Linked DNA regions of Macaca mulatta. The protein of the gene in region 1 interacts with the protein of each later gene in a biochemical or structural test. Links are inferred from orthologs where the notes say so. Each region holds a gene or a part of one and is shown in the gene's direction. Other genes may lie near its edges.

Region 1 (3,520 bases):
TGGGTAGATGAAGCCCTCCCTGACCCTCCACGAATGCCACCGTCACCCGGCTCCGGAAAGAGCACGGCTGGTGGATTCTTCCCGGGCCTCAACTCACAGCCTCTGACCGGAGAACTGAGGTGTTGGGGAGCACTGGACTCAAGGCCAGGACGGTGCAGAGGCCCAGCCTCAGGCAAGGGGGAGGACACTGAGGCCGCCCAGGAGCCGCCCCTCTGGCAGGGAAGGTGAGGAGGGCGGGCCTTCGTCCATCTCAGAGGCTTCAGGCCCTGACCCCTTGGGAGCCTCAGGCAGAGCTTCCTCCCCAGACATCCCAGCTCCCACGGCCACGCCAGGGCTGGCCCAGCGGGTGCGTGTCCTCTAAGAGTAAAGAATATGCCCTTTGAGCTTGGGGTTGCATTTAGGGGGAATCCAGCTGGGGCCTTCCATTGGTGTTGGCGCTTCCTCGGTCAAAGGCCTTTTCTGGGACTGAAGCGGCTCCACGGCAGCCACCAGCCTCTGCTTCTTGTGGCGGCCTCCACAGAGCGCGTCCCGTCTGACCTTCACACCCCCATGCCTTTGCCCCTAGGCCACCGTGAATGCCCGGCCGCAGCGCGTCCTGGACACCTCCTCCCTCACACAGTCGGCCCCTGCCAGCCCCACCAACAAGGGTGTGCACATCCACCAGGCGGGGTAAGTGCCGCCCGCTCAGCCTGCAGGTCCATAGTGGTCACCAGGGCCCCACGGGCTGAGCTCTCCCTGAGTCAGCCTCCCCATCCTCCTCCTTCCCCGCCCTGTCTTGGCTTCATCTCCTCCCCCCTCTCTAATGGGCATTCTCTTTCCCTCTCCCTCCTGGACACCCCGGTACCCTGCCTTGAACTCTCCCCTATCTTGAGAAACCCTTCATTTGCACATCGTCTCAGCAAAAGTTGAACTAAGCCTGGTCTCTGTGGCCTTTCAGAGTTCTCAAGAGGGGATCTAGATCTCCAAGTGGGTAACCAACAGGTGTTTGCACCTCAGGACGTGGCACTGCTGTGCGCTGAGCTTGCGCATCCCGGCCCACTCGGCTCTGAGCTGGTTTCGTGCTGTCCACATTGCCTTCCAGGGCGCTGGAGTTCAATGAGGGACACCCCTGCCCCCTGCCAGTCGGGCAACTGAGCAGCATGGACTCGGCACCAGCAGCTGGTGTGCCGGGAGACTGAGGACACCCTGGGCCCTGGTGGTATCTGGGAGGGTGCAGGTGGCCCAGGAAGTTGTTCCATGTTTCCCCTCGAAGCTCCAGACTCCACAGAGAACGCAGTGTTTGTTTTTCTCCCAATGGCAGGGGCTCCCCTCCAGCGTCCAGCACCAGCAGCTCCAGCCTGACCAATGACGTGGCCAAGCAGCCGGTCAGCCGAGACCTGCCTTCTGGCCGGCCGGGCACCACAGGCCCCGCGGGGGCGCAATACACCCCTCACTCCCACCAGTTCCCCCGGACACGGAAGATGTTCGACAAGGGCCCAGAGCAGGTACGGAGCCCCGGCTGCCTCGTGATCTGGACACTGATAGTGTTGCTTCTCAGATGGGGGCTCATGGCCTCGGCCTCAGGCTGTTTACGTCGGGCACTGCCCCTTGCTCATGCACCCCCTGCCTGCACTCTTTAGGAGTACTGCCAGGTTTGTCCTGGTTCTCCGCCCCTGGTTTTGGGTTCACCATTCTTGGCAGCTTCCATGTAACGAAACAGGAGCGTGGAGTTACCCGGCTCTCCCCTTCCTGGGCGTACAGCACTCTGCGTCCCCTCAGGGGCAGCTGCACTACAGAGCGTTTGTTCTGAATGGGTTGTCTTTTCTGTGAATGTCCAAGTACACTGCATAAATAGGTGCGCTCTCTTTGCCTTTAACTAAGTTGAAAAAGAAATTTCTGGAGAGAGGAATGTGTGCTTTGTTTTGCTGGGGTTGTGCGAGCGTTGTGAGGCGGTGGCTGGTCTGGAGACCTCGGCTGTCTCGTCCAGGCGTTGCCACTTTGTCACTTGAGGGCACCGGAGCTCAGGAAGGTGGTTCAGGGCACACCCAGCACACCCAGCTGCTCTGGGTTCTGACAGCATGATCAGCTCAGCAACGGAGTGGGGTCCGGGGCTCGCTTGGTCATTCAGTGATTTTAAAAGAAGTTAGTGGCCGCCTTGCAGGGTGCCTTGGAGCAGGAACGGCCATGTTGGGGTAGAAGAGCTGTCACAGCAGGAGCAGGCAGGTCCCCACAGGTGCTGCTCAGCCCCAGCCCACCTGGACTTTCCGTGTCTTGGCAGAGGAGGAGCAAGAACCACCACCGAGCCCCAAGTGCAGGGTCAGCCTCCTGGCCAGCCCCTGATGGGGACAGGAGGCCACGGTCCTGGGGAGCAGTGCCGCCGGCACGTGCAGCGCCCCCACCTGACCCCGCCCTGGGCCACGGCTCTCACTGCAGAGCCAGAGCAGCTGCCTAGGGTGGGGGGGATGCACCTCTCACTGCGCCTGCCCTGGGATCACGGGGAGCTCCCTATGCCAAGACACAGCAGGAGAGATGCCAGCAGGCCCACCCCCACGCATATGGCGTGGCACAGGAGACCCCTGGTGCCCAGCCTCACTGCACAAACACACACAGACTCTGACAGCCCTGGCCGCCGCAGGTTCCACAACAGGAAACACGCAAAGCTCAGTCCTCCTCAGCTCCACATCCTCTTTCTCCAGGGGCTGGGAGCCCAGCCGGCCTGCACAGCTGCACGCTCCGTCCAGGCCACTTCACACGGAGTCCCCGCTCTCAGCCTGCTGTCACGGGGCCATCAGGGGAGCTGTCCTGGGACCACGCGGCGGAGGCTTTTTGGGGTTGATAGACCAGCACACAGGGACGCGCGTGGCACTGTCTGGACAGTCGGCTAGAATTGACTTGGGAGCTGTGGTGGGTCGGCCCTGGGGATGATGGGACAGACGTGGCTCACGCTTCACAGCCCGGGCCCCTCAATCCCTGGCCAGACATTTAGGGGTTCTCAGCCCGGGCCCCTCAATCCCAGGCCAGATGTTCAGGGGCTCTTGGTCACCAGAATATGGAAGTGAGCAGAGCACAGAAGTGCTGTCCTTAGGGGCAGCCCGGAGCGCCCGGCAATGCCTTTGTCCCCTGCTGGAGCTCTTTTGAGCTTAAGAGTGGCATGACTGACTGGTGTTTCTTTTTCCTTCCACCCCTCCTGCTTAAACCCTGAAGACTGCGGACGATGCAGACGATGCTGCTGGACACAAAAGCTTCATCTCCGCCACGGTGCAGACGGGGTTCTGCGACTGGAGTGCCCGCTATTTCGCCCAGCCCGTCATGAAGGTACGCCCGGAGCACGGGGTTGAGAGTAGAGTCCTAGCGAACGTGTGTCTGTCCCACGTCTTTGAGCATAAACACTCAGGGCTCGTGGCTGTGGGAGTGTCGCTGTTGTGGTAGTGGTAGTGGTAGTGGTAGTGGTTGTGGTTGTGGTAGTGGTTGTGGTTGTGGTTGTGGTAGTGGTAGTGGTAGTGGTTGTGGTTGTGGTAGTGGTAGTGGTTGTGGTTGTGGT
Region 2 (3,520 bases), on another chromosome or scaffold:
GCTTGTAGCCCCAGCTACTCAGGAGGCTGAGGTGAGAGGATCACCTGAGACAAGGAAGTTGATTTTGCAGTGAGGCATGATTACACCATTGCACTTCAGCCTGAGTGACAGAGTGATGATACCATCTCTTAATTTTAGAAGAGTCACCTTATATTCCTTGGAGAAACATCTTTTTTGCACCATTGTTATAATTCAGACAGAATCCTTACATGATTTTTTTTTTATTTTTATTTTTAGAGACAGGGTCTCACTGTGTCACTCAGGCTGGAATGCATTGGCTCAGTCATAGGTCACTGCAGCCTCCAATCCCTGAGCTCAAGTGATCCTCCCACCTCAGCCTCCCGAGTAACTGGAACTGCAGGTGTGAGCCACTGTGTGTGGCAAAAATAATAATAATAAAATAATTAGATAATACCCGGTGTTGTTGAGGACATGAGGAAATGCATTTTCTTTCACATGCTGCCATTAGGAGTCTAACAGTGCTCACTGCAGCCTCAAACTCCTGGCCTCAAGCAGTGCTCCCACCTCAGCTTCCCAAAGTATCCTCCCATGACTTCTAACAGGATTCCTTTAAAAGAAAATATATTCCTGAAAAATGAATAGGAAAAGAAGATGAGAATTCTTTTATTTATTTATTTATTTATTTATTTATTTATTATTATTTTTTGGAGATGGAGTCTCCCTCTGTTGCCCAGGCTGGAGTGCAGTGGTACAGTCTTGACTCACTGCAACCTCTGCCTCCCAGGTTCAAGTGATTCTCCTGCCTAAGGCTCCCAAGTAGCTGGAACTATGGGTGCCCACCAGCACACCCGGCTAATTTTTGTAGTTTTAGTAGAGACGGGGTTTTACCATGTTGGCTAGGCTGGTCTCCAACTCCTGACGTCAGGTGATTCGCCCATCTCAGCCTCCCAAAGTGTTGGGATTGCAGACATGAGCCACCATGCCCAGCCGAGAATATTTTAGAAGAGCTTGGTAAAATATGTTGGAGTTAGCACACTCTCCCCCCAGCCCAGAAAAGATTTTTAGACCTTTTTTCTTTTTCCAGCTCCAATTTATGACAATTCTAAATCTGTCTCTCAAATTGTTTCAAAAAAGGACTGATGTATACTTTGGAAATTCTAATTTAATAAATTAATCAACTTTGTGGGTTTGTTGTTGTTTTGAGACGGAGTCTCACTCTGTCACCCAGGCTGGAGTGCAGTGGCACGATCTTGGCTCACTGCAACCTCTGCCTCCTGGGTTCAAGCAATTCTCCTGCCTCAGCCTCCCACATAGCTGGAATTACAGGCACCCACCACCATGGCCGGCTAATTTTTTTTTATTTTTAGTAGAGATGGGGTTTCACCATGTTGGCCAGGCTAAGCTCAAACTCCTGGCCTCAAGTGATCTGCCCACCTCTGCCTCCCAAAGTGCTGGGATTACAGGAATGAGCCACTGTGCCCAGCCCAAGTTAATCAACTATGAAGAGAAAAATAAAATCACATAATCTTGGTTGTTCAGCTTCTCAAAGAAAGCCAAATTGTTTTTTGTTTTTCCATGCTGTTTACTCATCTTTCCGAATTGTGGAGTCAAAGGAGAAGTTCAGAGTCCCATCAGCAATGTACCTGTCATACAGGAAGATCTCTTCATGTCCTATAACACCAGATGCCATTTTCAGTCTTGTCTCTCTTTCTCCTGCAGGGCTACACCAAGTCCATTGATATTTGGTCTGTAGGCTGCATTCTGGCAGAAATGCTTTCTAACAGGCCCATCTTTCCAGGGAAGCATTATCTTGACCAGCTGAACCACATTCTGGGTAAGGTTCCCGAGCCCTTCAGGAGCTAAATTTACTCAAGTTTGCCTGCCTACAGCTTATATCAAAGTCACTTCATTAAATTAAGAAGAATTCTAATACACTCTTTAACCTGTGGTAGGTGTGAATTTTTAACCTTCCCTGATTTAAAATGTTAAGGACTTTTGTGTAAAAACTTAAGAAAGGTAAGCATTAGGGGTGGTGATAAACCGTTAATTATCAGGGTTCATTCTGACTCACAGTTGATGGTGTGTAGTCATTTGCCTTGGTCTTGATAACTAACAGCTAATTTTTTTATCTGATAGGTATTCTTGGATCCCCATCACAAGAAGACCTGAATTGTATAATAAATTTAAAAGCTAGGAACTATTTGCTTTCTCTTCCACACAAAAATAAGGTGCCATGGAACAGGCTGTTCCCAAATGCTGACTCCAAAGGTAAATGTTATTTCGTTGATTAGTTTTTTCTAGACTTAGCTTCATGTTTGTTAAATTGTTAGGTCACTAGCCTGAAAAGTGAGCCTATGGCTATTGGATAATGCTTTCTTTAGTGCTCACTCTGAATTGCTGTCTTCCCTTTTTTTGGGAAACAGTGGCAGTGCAGTAAGGGAGCCTGGTAATGACTGTCTAGTTCTCCCCCTTTTGGTTTCTTTGCTAATTTTAACTTGCATTAAGGTCACTTTCTTTTGTTTTGTTTTTGTTTGGGACAGAGTCTCACTCTGTCGCCCAGGCTGGAATGTAGTGCCCCAATCTCAGCTCATTGCAGCCTCCTCCTCCTGGGTTCAAGCGAGTCTCCTGCCTCAGTCTTCTGAGTAACTGGGACTACAGACACGCACCACCATGCCGGCTCATTTTTGTATTTTTAGTAGAGATAGGGTTTCACTCTGCTGGCCAGGCTGGTATCGAACTCCTGGCCTTTTGATCTGCCTGCCTCGGCCTCTCAAAGTACTGGGATTACAGGCGTGAGCCACAGCGCTGAACCCTGCAAACAAATCACACCTTTTCATCTTGTCACTTGATAATTTTTAAAATCAGGTTTATTGAATAATAATTTACACAGAATAAAATTCACACTTTTTAGTTGTGCGGGCCTCTGAATTTTAACAAACATGAACTGTCGTATAACAACCGCTGCAATTGAGATGTGGAATAATACTCCCATCATCCCCAAAAGTTGCCTTGTGCCGTTTGTAGTGGGTCACCCCTCTCCAAACCCAGTCTCTGGCAATCATTGATCTGATTTCTATCCCTATAGTTGTGCCTTTTCTGGCATGTCATGTTAATGGAATCATGGAGTATGTAGCCTTTTTATGTCTAGATTCTCACATTCAGCATAATGCATTTGAGATTTATAAAAATCCACGTCATTGCTTGTGTCAGTCTCTTCAACAAATGGTGCTGGAACAATTAGACACCCATATGCAAAATTTACAAAACTCAAAATGGAACATAAACCTAAATATAAGGCCTAAAGTTATTAACCTTCAAGAAGAAAACAGGAGAGAATCTTCATGACCTTATGTTAGGCAAAGATTTTTTTTTTTTTTTTTTTTTGAGATGGAGTCTTGCTGTGTCGCCCAGGCTGGAGTGCAGTGGCCGGATCTCAGCTCACTGCAAGCTCTGCCTCCCGGGTTTTTACGCCATTCTCCTGCCTCAGCCTCCCGAGTAGCCGGGACTACAGGCGCCCACCACCTCGCCCGGCTAGTTTTTTGTATTTTTTAGTAGAGAC
Region 3 (2,508 bases), on another chromosome or scaffold:
TGAAGCAGAGGGGAAACTGAGGCACTGAGGGGACATGTGACTTCCCTGAGAGGCAGAGCTGGGACTGGAACCCAGCTGCGTTTCAGGAAGGAGCTGTGGGCTTTGAGGGAGGAGGCCTGGGTCCCCACAGTTCCCCCTCAGGCCTCAGTGTCCTCATGTGCAAACCAGCAGTCACAGTGGTGACCTCTTCTGTGCATCTTCCCTCAATGAGGCAGTGAGCGCCGAAGACCAGAAACAGGGCCTGGTGCAGCCAGGGTCCTCCTGCTGCTGATGTCTGTGCTGGCGACTCATGGCAACACAGTTAATTGAACGCTCTGGCCTCCAGAGTGCTGTGCCCAGGAGCTGGTCTCCCACTGGGCTCAGATCCAGTTCCTGATCTGGGTCTCCGGGTCCCATCCTGCGAGGGGACAGGCCCAGCTCAGGGTGACGGGGGCTGTAGTAGAGGCAGTACTAGGTGCCGGAGCTGCAGGCGGAATGACAGGACCGCTCCTTGGTGGGGGCTGACACAGGGAGGGATCTTTTCTGTAGCGCAGTGGCCACATGATAAAGCAGTAACAGCTGATTATCTCAGTCCTCACAGAGACCCTGTTATCCGCTCCCATTTTTCAGAAGGGGATACTGAGGCCTAGGGAAGCAAAACCTCTTGCTCACAGCTAGTCAGCAGTAGAGGTCTGATTGGAACATGACTGAAATCCCAGCCCAGATCCTCAGACTTGAGAGGGTGCACGCAGCCTTAATAGATAGCAGACAACAGCATTTCCATGTGTAGGAAGTAATGTCCCAGGCCAAGAAGGGGAGGGAGAGGGGCAGGAAGGCTTCGTGGAGGAGGTGTCTGAACCGGGTAGAACGGTTCCTATGCGGAGCAAGACGGGAAGGGCATTGCTGGCAGTGGGCATCGCAGGGCACAACTGGCAGGGCGGGGACGTGCTAGGAGTGGGCTTGGAGCCAGGGTGCACCCCTGGGCTGCGTGTGGGTGCAGGGGGCGTGCCCTGCCGGCGCTGACCTCGCCCGGTCGTCGTCCGCCCCCCCGCAGCCCTCTTCGCCCGACCTGGACCGTATCGCGGCAAGCATGCGCGCGCTGGTGCTGAGAGAGGCCGAGGACACCCAGGTCTTCGGGGACCTGCCACGGCCGCGGCTTAACACCAGCGACTTCCAGAAGCTGAAGCGGAAATACTGAGGCCCAGGGAGGGAGCGTCCCGGGCCTCATCCGCCCCGTCCCACACTACGCCCCCGCCCCACTCCCGGGGCCAGCCAATCTGAGGCCGATCCGGGACCCGCCTCCTTGCGTCTCCGGTTCCCAGGATTGAGCCGCCTCTGCCAATCCACGTCGCCCTTCCAGCCCATGACCTCCCGCGCCGAGGAGCGGGATCTGTCCCGTTTCCCGATTGGGTCTGTCGCGCCTCTCCGCCTAGCGACAGATTCCTTCTATTAAGGGATTGGCTCGTTCAGTTCTAAGCTCTAAATGGGTCAATTCCGTTGTTTTTCGCCTAGCGACAAGGGCTTTGCTCGCACGTCATTGGCTCCATCCCCTAGTCGCTGGGCAGCTCTTATTTTTGATTGGCTCGAATCCTTTAAAGGGCTTGACCAGTCTCCGCATAGTCATCGTCCGCTTTTCCTGAGTTGTCCCTCCTGATTGGCTCCAGCTTCCTGTGGGGGCGTGGCCAAGCCCTCCTGTTCCCAGAATTGGCCTGGGGCCTTCAATTTACATTCTTTACACTACGGGGGCTGGGGTCGTTGCCTCTGGCACCCCCTTTCATTGGTTCCATCCATCCCCACAACAGCCTGCCAATCGAAGCCCGTCCCTGCATCCAGGATGGTACCAGCTCCCGTCCCTCGCCCCCCACCTCCACAGGTGCCTTAAAGGGCCCTCGTCCACCCAAGGTGGGGGGCAGGGGCCCTCACTCTCCGGCCCTGGTGTAGGGGAGAGAGTGAGGGGTTGGGGGATTGGCAGTTGGGAAGGGCGCTCTGAGATTAAAGAGTTTTACCTCTGACAGATAAATGTGTGGTGTGTCGTGAGTGTTCATTCAACATTTTCTGAAACCGAATGGCAACGTCTGATTATCAGTGAACAGCTGGGGGTTGGAATGACTGTGTCCATTTTATTTATTTTTGAGACAGGGTCCCACTCTCGCTCAGGTTCAAGTGATTCTCCTGCCTCAACCTCCCGAGTAGCTGGGATTACGCGCCACTGCCGCCCGGATAATTTTTGTATTTTCAGTAGAAACAGGGTTTCACCATGTTGGCCACGCTGGTCTCGAACTCCTGACCTCAAATGATCTACCCGCCTCGGCCTCCCAAAGTGCTGGGATTACAGGAGTCAGCCACCGCGCCTGGCTCTGTGCCCATTTTATACATATGAAGACAAGAGGTTCATGGGGTGGAAGAGAGCATTCCAGTCTTGTGTGACCATGGACCCCAATCTTGGGGTGATGGTTGGAGCCAGAGGAGGCCACATATTCACCAGCAAAGCCAGGAACTCCAGCCGGGAGTCTTCTATTATAAAAGGAC

What was found. The genes of interacting proteins can lie anywhere in the genome.
Region 2: of the proteins of RPTOR (region 1) and MAPK1, one has a biochemical effect on the other in vitro, tested with the Homo sapiens proteins (2 studies listed by BioGRID, with this or other methods). The link is inferred for Macaca mulatta from reciprocal best matches to the Homo sapiens genes RPTOR and MAPK1.
Region 3: the proteins of RPTOR (region 1) and AKT1S1 interact in a biophysical measurement, tested with the Homo sapiens proteins (2 studies listed by BioGRID and IntAct, with this or other methods). The link is inferred for Macaca mulatta from reciprocal best matches to the Homo sapiens genes RPTOR and AKT1S1.

What each region holds. Positions count from the first base shown.
Region 1 is NC_133421.1:90,615,276-90,618,795, forward strand, and holds part of RPTOR (regulatory-associated protein of mTOR), read left to right. Parts: intron 1-565; coding exon 566-669; intron 670-1,300; coding exon 1,301-1,484; intron 1,485-3,183; coding exon 3,184-3,294; intron 3,295-3,520. UniProt on the Homo sapiens protein: Component of the mechanistic target of rapamycin complex 1 (mTORC1), an evolutionarily conserved central nutrient sensor that stimulates anabolic reactions and macromolecule biosynthesis to promote cellular biomass generation and growth.
Region 2 is NC_133415.1:31,200,576-31,204,095, forward strand, and holds part of MAPK1 (mitogen-activated protein kinase 1), read left to right. Parts: intron 1-1,680; coding exon 1,681-1,795; intron 1,796-2,097; coding exon 2,098-2,229; exon of another isoform or gene 2,230-2,716; intron 2,717-3,520. UniProt on the Homo sapiens protein: Serine/threonine kinase which acts as an essential component of the MAP kinase signal transduction pathway. MAPK1/ERK2 and MAPK3/ERK1 are the 2 MAPKs which play an important role in the MAPK/ERK cascade.
Region 3 is NC_133424.1:62,332,156-62,334,663, reverse strand, and holds the end of AKT1S1 (proline-rich AKT1 substrate 1), read left to right. Parts: intron 1-1,033; coding exon 1,034-1,177; 3' UTR 1,178-1,999; downstream 2,000-2,508. UniProt on the Homo sapiens protein: Negative regulator of the mechanistic target of rapamycin complex 1 (mTORC1), an evolutionarily conserved central nutrient sensor that stimulates anabolic reactions and macromolecule biosynthesis to promote cellular biomass generation and growth.